Linked DNA regions of Pelodiscus sinensis. The protein of the gene in region 1 purifies or fractionates together with the protein of each later gene. This does not show direct contact. Links are inferred from orthologs where the notes say so. Each region holds a gene or a part of one and is shown on either strand. Other genes may lie near its edges.

The links.
Region 2: the proteins of KPNA6 (region 1) and RNMT purify together in Homo sapiens (co-immunoprecipitation; 3 studies listed by BioGRID and IntAct, counting the BioPlex papers as one, with this or other methods). This does not show direct contact. The link is inferred for Pelodiscus sinensis from reciprocal best matches to the Homo sapiens genes KPNA6 and RNMT.

The regions. Positions count from the first base shown.
Region 1 is NC_134735.1:3,504,953-3,515,871, forward strand, and holds the start of KPNA6 (importin subunit alpha-7), read left to right. Parts: upstream 1-5,873; 5' UTR 5,874-5,888; coding exon 5,889-5,952; intron 5,953-8,072; exon of another isoform or gene 8,073-8,209; coding exon of another isoform or gene 8,210-8,213; intron 8,214-10,907; exon of another isoform or gene 10,908-10,919. UniProt on the Homo sapiens protein: Functions in nuclear protein import as an adapter protein for nuclear receptor KPNB1. Binds specifically and directly to substrates containing either a simple or bipartite NLS motif.
Region 2 is NC_134712.1:88,381,046-88,392,486, forward strand, and holds the start of RNMT (mRNA cap guanine-N(7) methyltransferase), read left to right. Parts: upstream 1-6,702; 5' UTR 6,703-6,845; intron 6,846-7,131; exon of another isoform or gene 7,132-7,154; intron 7,155-7,623; exon of another isoform or gene 7,624-7,902; intron 7,903-8,176; 5' UTR 8,177-8,236; coding exon 8,237-8,470; intron 8,471-11,441. UniProt on the Homo sapiens protein: Catalytic subunit of the mRNA-capping methyltransferase RNMT:RAMAC complex that methylates the N7 position of the added guanosine to the 5'-cap structure of mRNAs. Binds RNA containing 5'-terminal GpppC.

The DNA.
Region 1 (10,919 bases):
GGGTCCCAGGAACAGCCCACCTACCACCGGGCTGACATAGCCCCTGCCTGTGGGGGGTGGGAGTGGTGCAGCCCAGCTTTGGCAGCTGACTCATATTTCGCTTTTGGGGCTCCCCGCCCCATTCCTTTCTGCAGGACTCCTTCCTAGACAGTCACTTCCCATTCTGGATTGTTCCTGTGTGAGCGGAGCACTTTGCATTTGGCCTTATTGAATTTCATCCTACTGGCCATTTCTCCTGTTTGTCCAGATCATTCTGAAGGGAGGTTGAAGTTGGACGTTAGGAAAAACTTCCTACCTGTCCGGGTGGTGAAACACTGGACTAAGTTGCCCAGGGGGGTTGTGGAATCTCCATCCCTGGAGAGATTTAAGAGCAGGTTGGACAGACACTTATCAGAGATGATCTCTAGACCAATGGTTCCCAACCTGGGGTCCACGGACCCCTGGGGGTCTGCGAGGGTATTGCAGGGGGTCCATGGAAAAATTAAAGGTAAATAAAAATAGAAAATATTTTTTAAATAAATTGAAAAGTTACAATGTTGTTTTTAAATTAAATATTTTCCAATAATGTTATGAATTGTGGTCCAAAAATCTATGTTGTGGCGCCTTTGTGTGACGAAACGATCATGACGGTTAGAAGCGTACACACGTTAGCCATACGTTCAACATGGATCTGTGGCGAAATCCGGCTCGCTGAAGAGAAAGGAGACTGAGCAGAGTGAGGCATCCACAAGTGGAACAGCTAATCAAACAGTAAAAGTGAGAAAATACCCCACTACTAGAATTGAGGCTAGAATTGGCTTTGATGGGGGTCTGCAAACAGTTTGGGGGGAGTGATTGGGGGTCTGCAAACAGTTTGGGGGGAGTGATTGGGGGTCCGCACTAGTGAAAAGGTTGGGAACCACTGATCTAGTTCTATGATCCTATGAATTATGACCCTGTCCTCCAAAGTACTTGCAACCCCTCCCAGCTTGGTATCCTCTGCACACTTTATAAACATACTGTCTATGCCAATATCTACATTGTTGATGAAGATGTTAAACAGAACCAGTCCCAGAAACGATCCCTGCAGAACCCACTCATTACGCCCTTTCTTGTATTTCCTTAGTTTCTTAATGAGGTCATGTGAGACTGTATCAAATACCTTAAGTCTAGCTACACCTCCTCTACTGCTGCTAAAAGCAGACAGAAGCTGGACATAAAAAATGTTGGTCCCTCCCAAATCTTCCCTCCTTGCTAAAGCCAGAGGAAAAGAGCCCTGACGTATACTTAGCTACACCTCATCTACTGCTTTCTCCTTGTTAGCCTGTCAAAGTATCAGGTGGTTTGACATAATTTGTTCTTTACAAATCCTATAAGCGTGGCTTGTGTTTTATTTTGTAGAAACAACCAATTGTGCACAAAGAGCAGAGAAAATTCAGCTGTTTCTGCCCAGTGACTTGCAGGCTTCCTGCAGACTGGAAAAAGGATCCCCTGCGATCGGCACTATCCTCAGCCCCCGCTAGGGATGTGAATGTGTATCCATGTACAGCAGGCATGTCAAACAAGCCTCCGGAGGGCCTCATGCGGCCCAATCAATATTTTTTGCGGCCCGCCACTACATTTTTATAAAAGAATAAAGTGCGTCCTGCTGGCCACTCGGAGCACGTGGCCAAGCGCAGATCACAGCCGGCTGACCGGCCACTCTACGCTCAGTGCTGCAACTACTGCTCTCGGCCGGCCAGGCCGCTCGGAGCTGGGTGCTCCAGCACGTGTTCACGACTGGCCAGCTGCTCTGCACAGGCATCAAGTGCCTGCTCACGCCACCCCAGCACCTGAGGAAGGAAAGTGTGGCGTCGCCAGCGACTCTGAGACCCAGACATTAGGTTGGGGGGGCTGGGAATGCCTGGCTCTGGGGGAGGTGGGAGGCATTAGGTAGGGGGGGCCTGGTTTTGGGGGAGCAGAGAGGGATTGAGTTAGAATGGGGGAATGGGAGTGCCTGGCTCTGGGGGAAAGGAGGGGAATATTTTGTTAATGTTTTGTTTTGTATTTATTTATTCCCAAATAAAATCATAAAATGTATATCAATAAATGTCAATTTTTTGCAGTTGCACGAATAATATATATTTATCCAAAATGTCAAACTTACAAAGTATCTGAAATTTTCACAGAAGCCTGTTCTATTTGATTAAGCTCGGTCTATACTTGTTTTTATTTCCACAAAACAAGTTATGTATCATACAAAATTAAAAAGTACCTTCAATTTATATTTAAATTAAAAAAATATTTTATATGGGCAAATAACAATTTGACACATCAAGTGATTGTATTATATTAAAACAAGACCTGAAAAAGTATAAAATATGCCTAAACCATGATAATAAATCATTATGACTTTCCAATAGAAGCACATTTTCTTTGGTGGCCCTGAAAGCGATCAGTTTCCGTTTGTGCGACCCTCAGTAGGCTTCGAGTTTGACATGCCTGGTGTAAAGGGTAAACTGATGAGCCTCCACACAGCTGCCTCTCTACTGATCCGCCTGCTCCCCCTTCAGCTGCTGCCTTTAATACAGAGGCAGCAGCCCATGGTGGGAGCTGGAATGCACAGGGAGCTGGCTTTCATACTGGCTCCCTGCATGTACTGGCTACCGCCAAGCTTAATATCCTCCCCCCTTCGTATCAGAGGCAACAGCATGGGGGGAGGGGCAGGAGGGAGCTGGTACATGTGGGGCGCTGTCTTTAAGCCAGCTTCCAGCATGTGCTGGCTCCTATGAAGCCACATGCCCTTCCCCCCACTGCTGCCTCCCACAGAGGCAGCGGGGCTGGGGGGCAGGTGGGAGCTGGTGCCTGCCCCCTGCGCTGATGCCTCCGATACAGAGGCAGCATTGGGGGGGCAGGTGATTTTAAAGCCAGCTCCCCATGAGCACTGGCTCCTGCCTCCCCCCCCCCACATTTTATCATCCCTAGCCCTCACCTGTCCCAGTCAACTGGGCCACTCTTGGGTGACCCCTTGTCTCCGTTCTCACTTGCCTTCCCAGGCTGTGTGCCACTGAGCCAGGAAGTGGCTACCTCAGCTCTTGAAGCATTTGTAGTGGGTGACTGAACTTGCTAGATGTCGTTTTCACCGAGATGCAGCAGGTCTCTGGATTTCCCCTGGCCCTACCTGCCTGGCACGAACTGGCCGTCTGGGAGCCCCACAATAAAACTTTGCTTTTAAGCCCTGTGTGTTCATCTAGTCAGCGGCGAGAGTCCAGTGTTCTGTGCCCTGTGACAGCTGCCCCGCGACGCTTTGCAACCAAGGAATTCTTTCCTGCCAACTGCGAAATCTCTACGGTTGTCCTTCACTCCCTTGAACAAGCTGGCTTGGAAAATGGTTGAAGCAAACGCTGGACCTGGGACGGGTCTTTGCTTTAACTCAGGGCTAGCCCGGGGTCGGGATTTTAATGTTTAATCTGCAATATCGGAGGGGTTCTGCTTCTCTTCTGCCCCAGATGGAGCCTTACAGCTGTGCAAGATGGATGCAACCAGCATTCTGATTTGGAAGCAGTTAACTGCTTTGCATAAGGGTCAGTGACACACGCCGGGTGAGAGGACGGGGCGGGGGGAGGGATCAGGGACAACCCGCTGTTCTTGACCTAAGAAGCCTCCAATGAAGATGACAAACAGCAGTGACACACGTCGATGGTACCTATGTAACTACAGGTTGAACCTCTCTACTCCAGCACCCTTGGGGCCAAACCAGAGAATTTGCCCAACCACAAGAGGCCAATATTATCTAGCACAGGGGTGGGCAATCATTTTGCAGTGGGGCCACTTTATTAATTTTGGTAAATGGTCACAGGGCGGCTCCACCCTGGAGTGGGTGGGGCTTGGAGTCGAAGGGGTGGGGCTGGGCACTAGCCTCCCCCCCCCCCCCCCGAGTTGTCTGGGGCTGGAGGCTTTGAAAAAACCACAGCAAAGGGCTCAGGGCCCCATCACTACTGCGTTGCCTGGCAGCTGCCCAGGGTGGCTGGGACTACAGTAATTCCTCATTTAACACTAGAGAGATGTTTCAGAGAATGATTGTGTTAAGTGAAAACGTGTTATGCAGGGTCAATTTCCCCATTGAAAAGGTGGGGGTTGCATTTCAAGCGGTGGTGTCTGTTGGGACCGGGACATAAGGTCGGGGGAGAAAGGGGACGGGGTTACAGCAGAGAGGGGAGGTGTTTGGCTCTGCGGACGGGAAGGGGAGGAGAAGGGAGGGGGACTGGGTTGGGAGCATGCCCCTGTGACTGGTCTGCCGGGACCCGCTCTGTGTCCGGCGAGGGGGGGTCACTGGGGAACGGCGTGGCGAGCGGCGAACCCTCCGCCACTTTGCAGGGAGGCGGGGGAAGCCCCACGTAGCCGCTGGTGATGGGCAGGCTGGGGAAACCCAGCCGCCGGCCTGCAAGTGGGGCCAGAGGAGAGGGGGCAAGGCGTCCGGTGAGGGGGAGGCAGTGAGGAACGGCGCGGTGAGCGGCAAACCCTCCGCTGCTTTGCAGGGAGGCGGGGGAAGCCCCATGCAGCCACTGGCGACGGGCCAGCTGGGGAAATCGTGTTATTCCGGGGACGGTTGTGTCATTCAAAAAACGTTCCCTAAAAAAAAAAAAATCGTGCTATCGCGAAAACGTGTTAAGTGGGCACGTGTTAAATGAGGAATGACTGTATTTAAAAGGCTCAAGGCTGTGACCTCTGCTGGGATAGTGCTGCGACTGGGAGCTATGAGCCATTTAAATGCATCCTTGCTGCCTGAGCCACCGCCTGGAAATTTGGTGGTACGGGCGGCAGGATATAAATAGAAAGCAGCCAGATGCAGTGCGCGGGCTGGATCAAAGTGTTTGCGGGCCGCCTATTGCCCAGCACTGGTCTAGCAGCATTACCACCACTTCCACTGCTGTGAAGACATGTAGAGGTAAATTAGAGCTACATCACAGCACAGAGCAGAGCCAGGGCTGGTGGCTGTAAACAAACTTTATGTGACCATGGAAAACTTGGCCACACCCATGTTAAGTGGCCATCCGGCTAACTAAAATCATGCTGGGCCATGGATGTTGCCAGACCAGAAAGTGCCGGACTGGAGAGGTTCAACGTATACCAAACCATTCTTCTCAAGGAACAATAATAGTTTCTCAGGATTTTTGGCTGAGGTTTTTGCTGCCCTTCCTCTAATTCCTTCATGCCAATCCTGCCCTTTGTCCATTGATCGGCAAGGTATTTAACTGGGAATCTCTCAGGGTATGTCTACACTACCCCGCTAGTTTGAACTTGCAAATGAACTAGCTGTACTCCTCATTCCACGAGGAGTACAGCTAGTTCGGATTAGGAAGCCTAATCCGAACTAGCTACTCCGTGCCGCGTGTAGCCGCGCGGCACGGGGTTCGAACTAGCCGGGATTTAAAAATGGCGGCGCCCGGTTTATGCAAATGAAGCCCAGGAAATTCAAATCCCGGGCTTCATTTGCAAGTGCGGTATGCCTACATTACCCTCCTAGTTCGAATCACGAACTAAAGCAGGAGGTGGGTAAAAGAACAGAGACCAGCCCCCAGCCCGTCCACGTGTGTTTTAAATAATAAACTACTGAGGGTTGATCAGCTGGAGCTTTATCTGCGGGAACTGTCGACTTGTGCTCCCGTCTCCAGCAGTGTAGTGGTGAAAATTGCTGGAGCATGTGAGGCAAACGCCAAGCGGTTAGAAGACAGGATGTGGAGCTGACCCGTTCTGTGTCAGGGACCATAAAATTTTCCTTTGGCACAGCCATTCTGCCATTGATGTCTGGCTGGTGGAACTCTATACACTGTCATCACGGCGTGCTCCTCTCCAAGCAAAGCGAAAACTGGAGTGACTAGATGGCTTTTTCTTCCCTGTCCTGTGGCGCCGGAGGCAGAATCACCTCGATGCTGATTTCTTCTCCCAAGGGTGGGGAAAGGGAAGTGCCCCCAGCCACGCTACAAGTGGGTGGTATGTGACTTATCTTTGGCGGGGCTGTGACAAAATGAAAGCCCTTCGTTGGGAGTGGCCGAGCAGCCAGGGCTGGAGACATGGGCTGATAGGCAGGAGAAGGTGCTGGCAGCAGCTGTGCCTCATCAACAGCAGGGCCGACTTATCCATTAGGCACAGTGCCTAGGGCTCAGGATACTTTTAGGGGCTCACGAAAATGTTTTAATTTCTTTTAAAATCAGAAGAAAAAAAATGAAACTTTTAGGGCCCACGAAAATCTATTACATTTTGCCTAAAACAGAAAAAAAATAAAACGTTGAAGTATTTAAAGTTGTATCAAAAATAATTTTTAATATTTTTTTTTTTTATGGAGGAAGAGGCCCACAAAGGCAAAAGTGCCTCGGGCCCTCGAAAGTCATAATTCAGCCCTAATCAACAGGAGGGAAAATAAATTCAAGGCTCCCCATGGGACAGAGTGTGTGGGAAGGAGGAGGAGAGTTCCTCCCGAGCAAATGGGGACAACAGCTGGGTGGTCTCCTTTGTCGCTTCCCCCACACGCCTCTCCCTTTGAAGATGAGAGGAACACAACTGGGAAGGTGCTGCCTCCTCTAACTAGGGTGAACATTCCTAGGAAGAATTTTATTCTAGACAGGTTCTGCCCCACTGTCAGCCACGTCCTCTTCTCTTGATTAACAACGGGAGAACAAACACCAACGGGCGCCATTTCCCAGGGTTTGGCTGTTCCCGGGGCTCTTTCTACAGGATGCCCTCGAGCTCCCTGAGAAATCACTCCCACTGCCCTTAGTGAATCAACAGGACCCAGTTAATCCTTTCCCAGCAGGATGGATGCTGCTAGTGTAACCGCCGCCGGGCGGGTTTGAATCGGGGGCTGACTAGAGGAGCCTCCACCCTCTGAGCTAAAAGCCAGCTGGCTCCCAGCCCATGCTGTAGAGGTCTCTTGATCTTAACTGTTGCTGTGGTCTAGGTACCACTTGCATTGCGCAGTAACCACACTAGGTGTGTGGGTTACATTAGCATACCACGCAGCTGGTTTTTTGGGGGGGTGGGGGAATCACATTCTATGTGCTCTCCAGCATGAAATCATGCTCCTACCTAAGGATGTTAAATTACGGTTAACTGACTAGTCGATAGGCACTTTCGCATTCCTCCTGAAATGGACAAGAGCCCCAGTGGGGGCTCTTGTGCACTTCAAAGACACAGCGCCCTCATGGAACCTGGGGTCATCGGGGGACTTAGAGTCCCCCGCTGATCCCGGGCTCCACCACTCTGCCCCTTTGAATGAACTCACAGGGTGGGTGGCATGGGTGGGGCGGGCGGGAGCAGGCGCAGAGAAGGGGTGGGTGGCGTGGGCAGGGCGGGCGGGAGCAGAGGGTGGGTGGCATGGCCAGGGCGGGTGGGGGCAGGGCAGAACAGGGGGTGGGTGGCGTGGGCAGGTTGGGTGGGAGCGAGAGCAGGGCAGGGCAGGGGGTGGGTGGCGTGGCCAGGGCGGGTGGGAGCAGGGCAGGGCAGGGGGTGGGTGGCGTGGGCAGGGCGGGCGGCAGCAGGGCAGGGCAGGGGGTGGGTGGCGTGGGCAGGGCAGGTGGGAGCGGGAGCAGGGCAGGGCAGGGCAGGGCAGGGGGTGGGTGGCGTGGGCAAGGCGGGTGGGAGCGGGAGCAGGGCAGGGGGTGGGTGGCGTGGGCAGGTTGGGTGGGAGCGGGAGCAGGGCAGGGCAGGGCAGGGGGTGGGTGGCGTGGGCAGGTTGGGTGGGAGCGGGAGCAGGGCAGGGCAGGGGGTGGGTGGTGTGGGCAGGGCGGGTGGGAGCGGGAGCAGGGCAGGGCAGGGCAGGGGGTGGGTGGCGTGGGCAAGGCGGGTGGGAGCGGGAGCAGGGCAGGGGGTGGGTGGCGTGGGCAGGGCGGGTGGGGGCAGGGCAGGGCAGGGGGGAAGCAGGTGGCAGGTGGGCGGGAGCAGGGGGACCAGGCTGGCTCCCAGGGCGTGGCCCAGCCCTGCCACCTCCAGCCCACGGGCGCTATCAGGCCTCGGCCTTGGGCCCCAGCACCAGCCGCCGTGGCCCCGCCCCGTACAGCTCAGCAGAGGGAGGGAGGAAGCGCCTCTCCCCCCTCCCCCCGCGCTGTCTCTGCCCCTTTAAAGGGCGGCGCGCGCGGCGGGGAGGTTTGTCCCTTCCCGGCCGCCGTTCCCTTCTCTCGCTCCCGGCCCTCCCCCGCCCCCGTCCGCCATATTGTGGCCGCCGCAGCTCGAGCCGGAGCCTGAGGAGCCGGAGATGGGTGAGCGGGGCGGGTGGGGAGGCCGCGGCGGTTCCTCTGCGCCCTGCCAGCGGGAGACTCCGGCCCGGCGGGTCCGGCCGCCCCTTGCCCTGCGGCCCGGGCCCTGAGCCCGCGCCCGTCACCCGGGTCTCGGAGCGCCGGGGTGGGGCTACGCGCCCCTGCTCCCGCCGGCCCCCGGGGTGCCTGGCTCGAGGGGGCGGGTCTGCCCTGTGGGGGGGCTGGTTCCCCCTCCCCCTCCTCGGGCAGTGGCCGGCGGGGGGCGCCGCTGCGTCCAGCTGCCCTGCGCGGGGTGGGGGGAGGCGGCTGGCGGGGCCCCCGCTCCCCTCTGCCTGGGGACACTTCTGCTTATTCATGCCGAGCGCTGCCTGCCCCCCCCCGGTACCTGCCGGCCCCCCCGCCCCGTCCCTGGGTGGAACCCCCCCCCCCCCAGCTGGTGGGCTGTAGCGAGAGCCCTTGGAACAGCCCTCACACGGGACCTCTGTGCGAGGTGCCCCCCCCCCAGCCTTGTGCCTCGCAGCTGCGGGGGGCCCCAGGGCCCGAGGCAAACACTGCCCCCGCCTTTCACTTCTTGAGTTTGCGGTGGGTCTCTTGGCTGGTGTCTTCCACCCCAGAAGTGGCGGCGGGACTGCCCCTTTCATCTTGAAAGGAAGGGGCTGGATCGTGGCTTTAAATGTGGCTCGGCCAAGAGTATTTGGTTCGGCTTCTTTATCAGCAATACTTGGTAGATAGGAGGAGAAAAAGATGGACCACAGTTGTACTTTTCATGGATTTTGGGGGGATAGGAATGTTAGGCTGGTATGCCAACTGTAACTTGCACAAGGTGGGGAGGAATCGTGTGTGTGTGTGTGTGTGTTTTTAACCAACTCTTTGGAGCCGGGTATTGTCTACTGGGACCTTTGCCACCCCTAAACAACACTCAGTGTATGTATGAAGATTAAAACAATAAGATTCTTGCTGTCTGCTACTTTCTGCAAAATGATGCTAACCCCAGTCCCTTCCTCTCATTGAACAGAGGAGCTTCCATACTTCCTGAAGGTCGGTGGACCAATTCTCCCTAATCCATGGCATGCCAACTCTGTGTGGTTTTTACCAAAGTCCAGTTCTGAGGCAAAACTTTCACTGTGTATGTGGGCTCAACCTAGGACTGTTTCCTAGCGACTTAGTAGGGAAGAGAGCCTGAGGTCAGCCAGGAATGAGGCTTAAAAATGCTGCTCTGTTCTGCAGCTGTATTTTATCTTGAGGAGCAGACTTCTGCTCATCTTCACCAATGTGGGGTTTTGTTGATGCCCTATTCTTGGCTTCCAACAACTGTTTTAGTGTAAGTGTTTGTGGCTTTGTAGCGTTGCTCTCTGAGCAGCACAAAGAGGAATTACTTTTCTGGAAACTGAACTATATAGCTTACCTCTCCTGTCTGTAGTACTATTGCGTTATGGTTCTTGGGTTGGGGCAGGGGAAGCCCTGGTCTACTGGATGTCAAGAAAACCATTCCAAAACCTTCTAGCCGCACAAGGTTCAAATCCAGCTGTTGCTAGCTAGTCTTCATCCATCCTGTGAATATGGCCTAGTATCAAGTCCCTCCTTAATGAACATGACGGGATCTTGAATTACTTTAAATTTTAATCTTCACAGAAGCTGATTAGATTAGTAGAGGATTGTACAGAATGGAATTCCACTGATTTTTGGTGATGGAGATGCCACATGAGCTGGTGACTGGAGAAAACTGAACTGTCTCCGTGGGCCTGTCTCAACAGCCCCCTCTGCTGTGTTAGAGCATTAAAGTTTTGCAGGATAGTGCCACAGTTATGTTGCCCATATCTAGGTCTTCCATGGGTAATCGGGACCAAACTGTTATAACATCGCTATTAAAATGGCTATAAAGACTGTTTTAAACACTAGCGATTTTAACGTGTAGTGGACTATGTGATTGTTAATCTTGTTGACTATATGCATCCCATCCCTCCCTTGCTGCTTCTGATACAGAGGCAGCAAGGATATGGGGGAGGCAGGAGCTGGTGCCCGTGATGTGCTGACTTTTAAGCCAGCTCCCACAAGCACTGGATCCTGTGGAATTGCTCGGCCATGCTACTGTCTCTTGGAGGCAGGAGCTGATATGCATGGGGAGCTGGCTCTCTGTACATTCTGGCTCTGTGGAGCTGCCTTCCCCCTACCTCTCCTTTGCTGGCTTACATAGAGGTAGTAGGAGTTGGGAGGGGGCAGATGGGAGCCAGTGCTCAGCTTTGACTCTGCGTTCTAAGCCTACACCAAGGTGGCCAGCCCACAGCTTGCGAGCTGCATGCGGCTCTTCATCCCTGAAAGTATGGCTCGTGAAGCCACCCACGTACCCCTACAGTTGGCCCCTGGTCCCCTGTACTCACCGAGTGTAGGGGAGCTGTCCGGTGTAGCAAGATGGTGGTGGCCAATGGGAGCCTGACGTGGCCAAAAAGCCTGCCTGTGGTTTTTAAAGGGGCGGTGTCTTTTCTCAACTCTGGCTGTTGGGGAGCTTTTTTTGGTTGGCTCAACAATTTTGGTGCGGCTCTTTGCATTTTTTTTTCTGTCGCTGTTTCGGCTCTTCATTTAATGGGTTGGCCACCCCAGTCCTACACGAATAGACTGTTAAGGGAGCATGGTATGCTGGGACTGGACAGTGGGGGATGGATCACTTGAACGGAAAAGGGCAATTATCATTCACTCTGAAGCCTCTGGCAC
Region 2 (11,441 bases), on another chromosome or scaffold:
ACTTTAAATAAAGTAAAATATTAATTTATGTCTAACACAAGATTTCAATATTTTCTTTATTTATGGCAGGGATGGGAAACTATCAGTAGGGGACCACACAAGTGGCAAACTACTCCAAAAACCCCCAAACCTCTGAGCCTGACCCCATCGCACCCCAGCCCCCAATTCCCACATTACCTCCTCACCCCAGCCCCTGCATCCTCTGCTCCTGGCTACCATCCCTCCCACAGGAGGGGTCCTGGCTCTGTGCAGGGTCCCTATTAGGGATGTTAAGTAACGATTAATTTGCTAGTCGAGTAGTTGATGGAATTTCCATTCACTACTCAATAAGCACTTCTGCCTTTGAAATGCATTTCAAAGTTGGAATGCTGCACGGAGCCCTGGGCCAGTGGGAAGTCCTGCTGACTCTGGGCTCCACACAAACGCTTCCTCTTTGAAATCCACAAGAGCCACCGCTGGGGACTGTTGTACATTTCAAAGCTGGCACACGGCATTGATCTGGGGTCAGTTGGGGGAGTCCCCAACTGATCCCAGACTCTACCTGGCATTTCAAAGCGGCAGCGCCGCATGAAGCCCAGGGTCAGCGAGGGAATCCCCAGCTGATATATTATAGCTATAGTTTTAAAATGTGCAGATGATACTTGGAAGACAGGATTAGAATTTAAAATGACCTAGACAAAGTGAGGAATTAGTTTGAAATCAACAAGATGAAATTAAATAATGTTAAAAGCACAGCACTATGCTTTGGAAACAAAACCAAATGCACATATAACTGATAGACAGTGTTTTTGTATCATAGGATCTGAGGGCTATTGTTGAACACAAAGGCTGTGTCTAGATGGGCAAGTTTTTCCGCCAAAGCAGATGCTTTGGCGGAAAAACTTGCCAGCTGTCTACACTGGCCGCTTGAATTTCTGCAAGAACACTGACTTCCTACTGTCTGAAATCAGTGCTTCTTGCGGAAATACTATGCTGCTCCTGTTCGGGCAAAATTCCTTTTGCGCAAAAGGGCCCGTGTAGACAGCTCAGATTTGTTTTCCGCAAAAAAGCCCCGATCGCTAAAATGGCAGAAAAGCACATCTAGACTGGCACGGACGCTTTTCTGCGGAAAATCATGCCAGTCTAGACATAGCCAAACAGATGAGCCGACACATATATGCAAAGTTTTCTATTTTTTCCATGAAGTATCAGCAGGTCTTTAAATTGGTTATTGAACTATGATGTTAAAATGTGACAGTGTTGACTATTTTGCTAAGTGATTTAACTAGGAAAAAAATCCAGCGGCTGTGTTTGTTCAAGACTGGTCCAGCGTAACATTCTAGAACAGGGGTTTAATTAAAGCAGTGGCTGTACGACAGCATAACATTTGTCAACAAAACTATAGTGTAGACAAGGGTTTATTCTCTGTAGTATTTTCACATGTGGCTGTCTCTTCACTTGCACTTCTAGATCTCCCACTACTGTGCTTCACTAGTACTAACACTAGCAGAGTCTGGTCAGTGGTCACCAACTTTTTTACATAATTGTGTCTAACCTTCGCTTGGTCACAATGTAGTTGTAGACAGATGGATCTAGCTATATCACAGAACCATAATAAAACCTTGGACAAGTTAAGTCCATATCGAGATCTGAATATATTCACTAGGGATGTAAAGGGTTAACCAGTTACCCAGTAAGCATCCTGTTTAACCTGTTAACTTATTAACCAGGATTTTATATTCCTAATATTCACTGCTGTAACTGACTACATTGACAAAGCAGTATTTATAATGTAGACAGACCTTTAGCAGAATAGGGAACATCTTTTTAAAAAGATCTTTAAGTTTTCACAATAGAATTTTGGAAAAAATATTAGACAGTATATAAGTAGAAGAGCTATATTTTATATCTGTGTAGTCAGTTAAAGATGTGGGATGTTAAACAGTAGGTTTCTACTGATTTAAAAAGCATTTCAATTCATCTTTATACTGATGGGATGCAAATTAGCTCATCTGCATCCAACTAGAAGTGACAGAAATACTCCCACCCCCGCCTTTACTTTGACAGGAGTCAGAGATCTTAAGTTCTACATTGTACTTAGTTCTACCTTTTAACACCACACTAAATTAAATCTTCACAGCTTCTTAAAAATACAATATACAAACTCTTTATAGCACTTTCTAGGCTATTACATTTCTGCACCATAATGCAGTCACCAGTTCTATAACTTTCTTGCGGGGGGGGGGGTGGTGATAATTCCAAATCCATAGTAACCACTCAGTATCTCTGCTCCTTAATACTGAACAATTATCTTGGCTCTTTTCTTTAGAAGTTTTATTCTGCCCTCTACTGAATCCTTACAGAATCACACTTCAATTTCAGAAGTTATTGCAACCAACTACTAGCATTTATTAATGGCTTCTTACCACATTATATTGTATTAGAAAATAATACAACTTTTGAAAAAAATGGCAGTAGCCAATTTTTTCTTGCCATAACAACATGATGTTTCCTCTGTATCTTCCAACTCCTGGAAAAAAAAGGGGGAGGAAGAATAGGGGCAGCATGAGGAGAGTTTATAATTTGGAGCACCTAAGAAGGGGAAGAAGAGCTGGACATAAAAAAGTTACCAGTTTTATAAGCATACTCGGGGGGCTATGCCCCGTTTGCTACACTCACCAACCCCCCTCTTCGGGGGTAGGCAGCCCTGGCTCTCCTCCCAGCTGCTGGGGAGGGCCAGGCTGAGGCGTGGCAGCATTGTTGCCCCCTGGGCGGGCAGCTGCCGGAGGGACATTGAGTCCCGGTTCAGGAGCTGGGGTGACCCCTGCCTCCGATCCTCTCTCTTCACATTGGGCCTCTGCCTTGCCGCTGCCTCCTCCCCCCATACATCTCAAGCAGAAATTGAAACTCCCAGCAGTCTGCCATGTGGTGGCTGCCAGAGGCCCATCCAGGCCCGGCTGCCACCCTGCCCAGTTCAGGGGCCAGTGCCCCCCTAACAGTGAGCCTTTCCAGCAGCCCTCGCCCACCCTCCCTGCCAGAATTTTTTTAATCCCCGCTAAAGCGGGACTATCTGCTGGCCCCCTTATTCCCTCCCCAGGAGCCCACCAGCAGCTGCAGCTTATCTTCAGTGCTGCTGCTCAGGAGCCATGTGTTCCCTATCCCAGCTGGGTTAGCAGCAGGCAAGCAGGAGGAGATGGGACCGCTGAGGGGGGAGGGGTTGTGGGATGCAGAGTGACATGATGACGTCACTCTGTCATCCAGCAGGAAAACCTTTTTATAGATAGAAAAGAGAATCTCTTACTGACTGAACTGTTAATGTATGCTTGCTGTCTGAGAATGAAACCTGTACCAACAAGTGCAAGTTTATTCTGCTGCTGTAGGAACAAAGACAGCAGGAATATTGTGGGACCCATTGTAACCTCCAAAAATCATATTGAATTCCAGGAGATGAGATGAAAAAAAGTCTGATTGCTAAGGGCTGTACTTCAATGTATAATTACTTCTGCTTCAGAGAAAAAAAAAGCATAGGGAAAAAACAGAAAAGATATCTAAATTAAGATCTAAAAACCAGTTTCTTGGTTACTCTAATGTTCTCTGAGGAAGGAAGATGATCAAGTGGCATGTGCTGGAGCCAAGATCCACCAAACAGCCAATAGGTAAGTATCTTTAAACTTTTTTCCTTCTCCATTCTTGGCTGGAAAAAATCTCTCAAGTCACCGTACTGGCAGGAATAGAGCTATAAGAGCATTATTTCTGATAGTGGATGACAATCACCAGAACAGTTGTACAACTGTTTGTAATTGTTTAACTGTTACTCGTGGACAATATCAGATTTTGGGTAACATCAGATGGCAGATCCATAGGGTGCCCAGAAGAGTTGGCCAAGGAGCATTTCCCCTTTCAAGTCTCCACAAATAACACAGGACCTACCCAGAGCTAATTTTATATAGTAAAAATGTTTTTCTGCACAACAGAAGAAACTTTACCTCTGGAATTGTCAGTGCAGCATGCACTGAATTGTGTTTTAGTGTAGGATCATGAAACAGGCAAAAGGTGTGGTGAGGCATAATTTGTAAGAACTGAAACATTGAGGGTGGGGGAAGCAATTGGGAACAATGAAAGGATCAGAACTCTTCATAGAAGAGTAAAGAGTATTTCCCTGAAACTTAGACTATGTCTACACTACAGGCTTTTTGTGCAAGAACGATTGTTCTTGCGCAAAAACTTGCAGAACGTCTACACTGCACGCATGTTCTTGAGCAAGTAAATTTACAGTAAAGCGTCGGAAAGCGGGGCTTCTTGTGCAAGAGTTATTCCTCTCCCCATGAGGAATAAGCCCTCTTGAGCTGCAAGAGCTCTTCCACAAGAAGGCAGTGTAGACAGGCAACAGGGATTTCTTGCTCAAGAAAGCCCTATGGCTAAAATGGCCAGAGCTTTCTTGTGCAAGAGAGCGTCCACACTGCCACGGACGCTGTTGCACAAAAGCACATCTCTTCCACAAAAGCACATGGCAGTGTGGACGCACTCTTGTGGAAGACCTTTTGCACAAGAACTCTTGCGTAAAACAGTTACTGCGCAAGAAGCCTGCAATGTAGATGTAGCCTCAGAGAATAAGAGGTCACAAATTAATATTTGCATTCAAGTAGCACCTAGAAGCCCCAGTGACACACACTCTAAATAGACAAACAGGCAAAGCAAGCGAAAGAGGTTTAGACAGGACTTCACCATCAGACTATCATCATCTTAGTAAAAGTCAGACAAAAGTCTGTTGAAAATGTAGCTGACCCACTGAAAACCTATGGAAGCTACCTAATATTTTAATAACTTGTTCATCTACTTTAGAGCAAGAATTAGCCTTGGATACCAAATTTCTTGTGGATTATGAAGAATCTCAAATAGATTGCTAAAAGTTTAGTTCAAGGAAACTGGTCTGAAAGCTCTGATGTGAAGATGGAAAAAAGTATTCTGCTCTTATGAAAAGCAGAGATGAGAGTTGGGTAGAGTAACATGATCAAATAATTCACTACTGAGAAGACACATTATCTGCTCTTTTAAATGTATGCAGGGAAAGAGGGCTCCTCCTTCCTGGCACTTTTGGATTCAACAAATGGAAAGTAAAAGTTAAAAGGAATGTTGACCTTCTTTTGCTAAAAGGTCACTTTTCTCTGAAAACTCTTTAAGGAGAGTATTGAGGATGTGTGTGTGATAAAGGGAAGGTACAAAAGCCTACAACGTTTTGCTGCATTAACTAGTTACTGCAAAGTTAAAATAGCAAACACCATCATAGCATAAACATAGTTATAATACTATATAAGCACTTTTATGGCACAACTGCAACTATACTAGTACTTATACCAGGGCTTTCTGACCAATTCCCTTGAACAAAACCATGTTGGTAGCAAAATGACACCTCTTACTAACATAGTTATGCCAGCCAAACTTAAGTATAAACTAAGCTAAGTTTTGAAGATGTATACTTCTTCCAGAACAAACCCAGAGAGCAAAGAAAGCACTCCAGCGCTTTAGCCTATATCCACAATGTAAAGTGTGTAGGTTACCAACCTCATATTCAGCTCTCAGATTTTAGTCTATATCTCCATACAGGCCAACTTAACTCAGACTGAAAGCTCCAAATTCATATTGGAGGTTTGTGCACGTTTGTTGACAGAAGTCACCTTAGTAACAACAGAGTAGTGAAAGCTCAGGTTAACACTGCAATGAAGGCATGCAGAGCAAGGAATCCAATTCCCACTGAAGGTAGGCACCAAGTCCTACACACCCAGAAGGCACCTTTAGTCCTCTATGAATGTTATAACATGTTGGTATTTTACAAGAGGTCATTAGCAGACATCTGTGGAGAGTTCCACAGAGCAGCTATCAATAGAAGTTGACACAAAGAGTTCTCACCCTGATTTGATTTCAGTCAGCTACTTTCTGCTTTGGTCCTAAGGTGACTAGGGAAGTGAGCAGAGAGGCAAGATGGAAGCAAAGAAAACCGCGAACACTCCGTAGGCACTGGGGGCAGTGGAGGGGAGGGGGGGGGGCAAAAATGGAGCTGAACATCGGAGAACCTGGAAGATAATGTCCTCAATTCTGAGGGCCCCACCCCTGTCTGAAAGGATCCTCTCTCCTTGCATCAGCTGAAGCCACATCCTACTAACACATCGATGCAATATGTTCCCAATAAAAGCAGCGGTAGCTGAACAGAAGGACTCCAAGCCCCCCCAAGCGCGTGTCGGACCAAACAGAAATGCCTTGACTCGTGGGCGCGGGCCGACGCGTGGGTCCCTTGGAGGAGCCCCCTCTCCAGCGGGCAGTGGTGCTGGCGGCGGGGGGTGTGCGGGGAGGGGGCGGGGGGCGCTCACATTCCCGCCGCCAGCGGACGGGCCGGGACCGAAGCGCCGCCGCGGGGGACCCCAGCCCGCCCGGGGTCACGCCCCGCCCCCGGAACGCGCGCGGGGATCGGTACCTTGCGCTCCATCAGGCCGCGGCCGCAGGGACCCGGGCGGGCGGCAGGGTTGGGTCGGCAGCCGCGCTCTCCTCGCGGGGCTACAGGGGCCTCGCTCTGCCCCCGGGCAACGTGTTTGCAAACCCCCTCCCCGGGCCCAATCGCTCACACTGCGCATGCGCCACTGCAAAGCCTTATGGGGACTGTAGTCCTGGGAAACAGCGGGGCGCGGCTCTTCAGGCCACTTCCTTCCCTTTCGAGGCGCCCTGGACTGGCGAGGAGTCACGTATGCGCGTGCGCAGCCGGTACCCCACTGCGGCTCTCGCAGGCTCCTCCCCATTACCGGAAACGACGCAATCAGCTCGCGGCTTTCTATGCGCGTCACATCCGCAAACAGCATGGCAGAAAGCCCGCTTTGGTGAGCGCTGCGCAGAGGCTTAAGGGCCGGCGCGTTTCTCGCTCCTAAGGAGCCGCGCGCGGGGCGGTGGGGCCCCTGTGGCAGCGAAGCGTCCCCTGAAGAAGCGGTTTCCGTGCGCTCGCGCCGCTTCAGCGGCTCCAGCCATTTGCTATCCGCCGAGCGGGAAATTTGGGGGCGGGGCCGACGCTCACATTCCCGCTCGCGCCGCGGGGGAGGGGAGAGCTGCGCGCGCGCGCTGCGGCAACGGAAGGGGGCGGGGCAAAGCGGTGCCGTGGGGGTGGGAACTCGCAGTCGCTTGTTGAGCGCTAGGTGGGACGCAGAGGAAGGCGGTTGGGGGGGGGCGCGTGGGCGCCGTTGCTAAGGGGACGGGGTGGGGTTCGCGCCACTGTCGGCCCGCGGCCTGGCCGCTGGGAGGGCGGGGCAGTGAGACACTCAGAGATGGGCCGAAGGGGCGGAGCCCGGGCCTGGCGTTTGGGGGTGGGGGCTGTTCTAGCCTCGTCGCCCCGCCCTTTCGGGTTTCTCGAGTTCCGGGGGCGTGGTTCCTGAAGGTGACCCGCCAAGAGAAAAGCAGGGGCGCCCCCTCTCCCCTCCCCCGCGGCTCCCGTGCTGGTCAGCGGAGGGGAAGGGGGAGGTGGCGGCTGCGGCAGCAGCGTTCCCCGCCCACCACTGCCTGGTCTCCCCGGAGCCCCGCCCCTCGCTTCTCTCCTTTCGGCGCGAGGCAAGTGCCCGCGCGCGAGACACCCCCCCCCCCCCGGGGTCGAACGTGAGGGGGGGGCGGTGTCTCCTGCCCGCCTTGGGCCGAGTCAGGGACGCCGGGGCGGCACCGGTGCCCCGAGCTACACAGCGGAGGGGCTGATGGTCCCTCCTGCCTCTCGACTCGGAGAGAAGTGCCCCCCCCTCCCCGTCAGAGCCCAGCGCGAGCAGGGGAGAGGCCGCGTCTGCCCCAGGCCTTCCTGCCAGCCCGGGGTTTTTGGCCACCGTCTTCATTGTGTCTTTCCCCTCTTGGGTGTGACAGAAGCACCTCAGCAGGGTTTGCTGGGCAGGTGAAACAGTGAAGGTAGCTGCAGTACAGCCCTGTCAAATGCACAAAATAAACCGGAACAAAGAGAAACTGTTACAGCAACTTCGGTGTTGCCTGTGCTAAAACCAGTGAATGCACTTACAGTGTAACTTTTTAACCTTGTTGACCCTTTATAACTAATCGAATATTGAGGTCCAGTAAAAGCTTTGGATTTGTTCTATAGCCATTGAGTGTGATAGTGCTTTTATAATAATATAACAGAGGACAAGCATCCATTATATGCAAAGTAATATTTCACGTTTTTCCACAGTTTATTTGTGGAATAAAATTGATACTGTTTAATCAAGCAACACGAAGAATAAGCTCCAACATGTCTGATTCCAGCAAGGTTGAAGAACAAGAGTTAGAAAAGAGCTTAGTTGAGGAAGCAGACAGAATAATTTCTAAAGCTTCAGAGGCAGAGTCTGCTGTCAGTTTGGATGAGGACAATACAACATCAGCTAAAGAGCAGGATGCTGGAAATGAAAAGGAAGATGTTAGCGGTCATCAGGACACAACATCAAAAAAGAGAAAAGCAGAAGATGAAGATGAACCTAGAGAAGTGGTGAGTATAATCTGTTTTCAGTTTTGTCTGAACAATAGGCAAAGACTGAAATGTTTTGGGGCACGTGTTTACCTAAGTACATTGATCATTAAATTATTTATATCAAGCATTTTACAGTGTATATTTATAAGATTGTAGCGGCTAGTGTCTCATGAACCGCTTGACCTAAATTTTAATTCTGAATACAGCTTTTTTAATATAACAGCAGGTGCTAAAATTACGTTGGAACTCAAGGAACTGGGAAGAAAGATAAATAGAATGAGAGGCTTTAAATAGTCTAAGATCTGTCAGGGCTTGAAATGAGTACTCTATTAAAACAATCAGTTTGGGATTTGGTGGTTGTTGACATGTCCAGATTTAAACTGTTACTGCTTTCATAGTTTAGCAGTGTGTAGTTTTACAGGATTTTTAGAATTGGTACAAGTCTGAATAAGTTGTGTTGAATTCTGAAGTAGGAATGTAATACAGGCAGTCCCCGAGTTACGCGGATCTGACGTCAGATCCGCAGTTACGAACAGGGATTTTTCTCGCCCCGGAGGACTGGAGCAGTTGGACGCCTGGTCCCGCCGCCTGCCTCCTCCCGGGCGAGAAAAGCTGCTCCCGGTCTCCCTGGTCTGCTGGGGGAGCCAGCAGACCAGAGAGACGGGGAGCAAAGCGGTGGAGGACCCGGGGCCGGACCCGCGGCTGCTTCCAGATCAGCTGGAAGCGGCCGCGGGTCCGGCCCCGGGTCCTACGCGGCTTTGCTCGGCGTCTCCCTGGTCTGCAGACCAGGGAGACGCCGAGCAAAGCCGCGGAGGACCCGGCCGGACCCGCGGCGCTTCCAGCTGAGAAAAGCCGGGGAGGACCCGGGCCGGACCTGCGGCACTTCCAGCTGATCTGGAAGCGCCACTGTCCAGCCCGGGTCCTCCACCGCTTTGCTCTGCGTCTCCCTGGTCTGCTGGGGGGGGGACGCAGCTAGTGCCCCCCCTCCCCCCCAGCAGACCAGGGAGACGTGGAGCAAAGCCCGGGGCCTGTGGTAGAGCAGGTGGGGCGCTGCCGGTTGGTCCCGCAGCACCGCTCCTTAGCGCTACTGGACCAACCCGGCAGCACCCCAGCTGCTCTGCCCCAGGCGTCCTGATTCAGCCGCTGCTGATCAGTTTCAGCAGCGGCTGAATCAGGACGCCTGGGGCAGAGCAGCTGGGGTGCTGCTGGGTTGGTCCAGTAGCGCCGAGGAGCGGCCACGCTACTGGACCAACCCAGCAGCACCCGAGCTGCTCTGCTCCAGGCGTCCCCAAGTTAGCCGCTGCTGAAACTGACCAGCGGCTGACTACAGGAAGCCCGAGGCAGAGTTGCTCTGCCCCAGGCTTCCTGGAATCAGCTGCTGATCAGTTTCAGCAGCAACTGACTTGGGGACGCCTGGGGTTCTTAAGTTGAATCTGTATGTAAGTCAGAACTGGTGTCCAGATTCAGCCGCTGTTGAAACTGATCAGTTTCAGCAGCGGCTGAATCTGGATGCCAGTTCCCACTTACATACAGATTCAACTTAAGAACAAACCTACAGTCCCTATCTTGTACGTAACCTGGGGACTGCCTGTAGTATATAATCAGTGAACCGATAAACGAAAGCTTATTGGTTACTTCTGTAGAATACATGCATTTCTCCCTCCCCTGCCAGTACATTTTTTAGCAGGTTGGCCAGTTGCCTGGTTCAGTCCTGGCTTGCACTGGGTCCAGGACCTACCCCTGCTGTGACTTTGCATTTAAAGTGTAATTGGGAGCCATGTGGGCAGGCAGCCTGGCTCAGTTCCAGCTTGCGCCGGGGCCCAGGAGCTCAGACTTCCCTGCCCTGGACAGAGGTTGCTGCCACCTAATTCTGCTGTCTCTGTATCGGAGGCAACAGTGCGTGGTGACAGCTAGTCCACAAAAGGAGCTGTTCTTTAAATGGGCTCCTCTCACGGTGCCACCTGGCACCCTATTTTGCTGCCTCTGTTAGAGGCAGCAGTGTGGATTGGCAGGAGCTCCTCGGAAGTGGGGGTGGAGCTGCCTGCCCCAACCCCGGGAACTATGGAATAGTCGATAAGAATTCATGAGGTTAATTGACTATTCATTTAACTGATATTTAACATCCCTATTCTGAACCATGATAACTTTTTGCATACTTGTATGTGTTTTTGGAGTATCTTTTACAAGGTTTGTATAATTTAAGACTTTTAAGAGCAGGTTAGACAAACAGCTGTGGGGGGTGGTTTAGATCAGGGATGGGCCATCATTTTTTATGTGGGGCACATCTGAAGAAGTGGGCTGTAGATACCATCTACCTGTTTTGTTAATCTTTAAAGTGCTACCAGACTATTTGTTGTTTTTTAAGTTTTACCAAGATTTTGGTAAGTAATCAAGGGCTGCACTTTTTTATAGAGGGGCTGTGGGATCTGGAACAGAATTTGGGTGCAGATGGGAGGTCAGGATAAGGGACTGGGGTGCAGAAGAGGGTATGGGGATCTAAGAGGGAGTTTGGGTGAAGGAGGGGGCTGTGATCTGGGGCAGGAGATTGGGGTACAGATCTGATAGGGGTTAGGAGTGCAGGAGAGGATTCTGGCCTGGGGGTAGAAGTGAGGGAGGGGGTGGAAAGTTGGGAAGAGGGAAAGTCATGACCTGAGGAGGAGGGTTCAGAGGGTTTGGTTTTTATCTAGGGCAGGTGTTTGAGGTATAGGGTCTAGGAGAAGGTATGGGTGCAGGAGAAAGATCCTGGCCTGGAAAAGGGTTAGGAGAGATGTGGAATCTGTGAGGGAGTTGGGGGACGGGTGGAGGGGCTGAAGTGCCGGAGACATGCTGTAGTTGGAAAGCACTTACCTAAGCAGCTCCCAGACAGAAGCACTCAGGCAGGCTTCCCCGCCAGCAGCCCCAGACAACTAGCTGTGCATATGGTGCTCTGTACTGCCAGAAGGGGAGAGGGAGAGTGAGAGGTTTCACATGCTGCCCTTGCCCTAGTAAA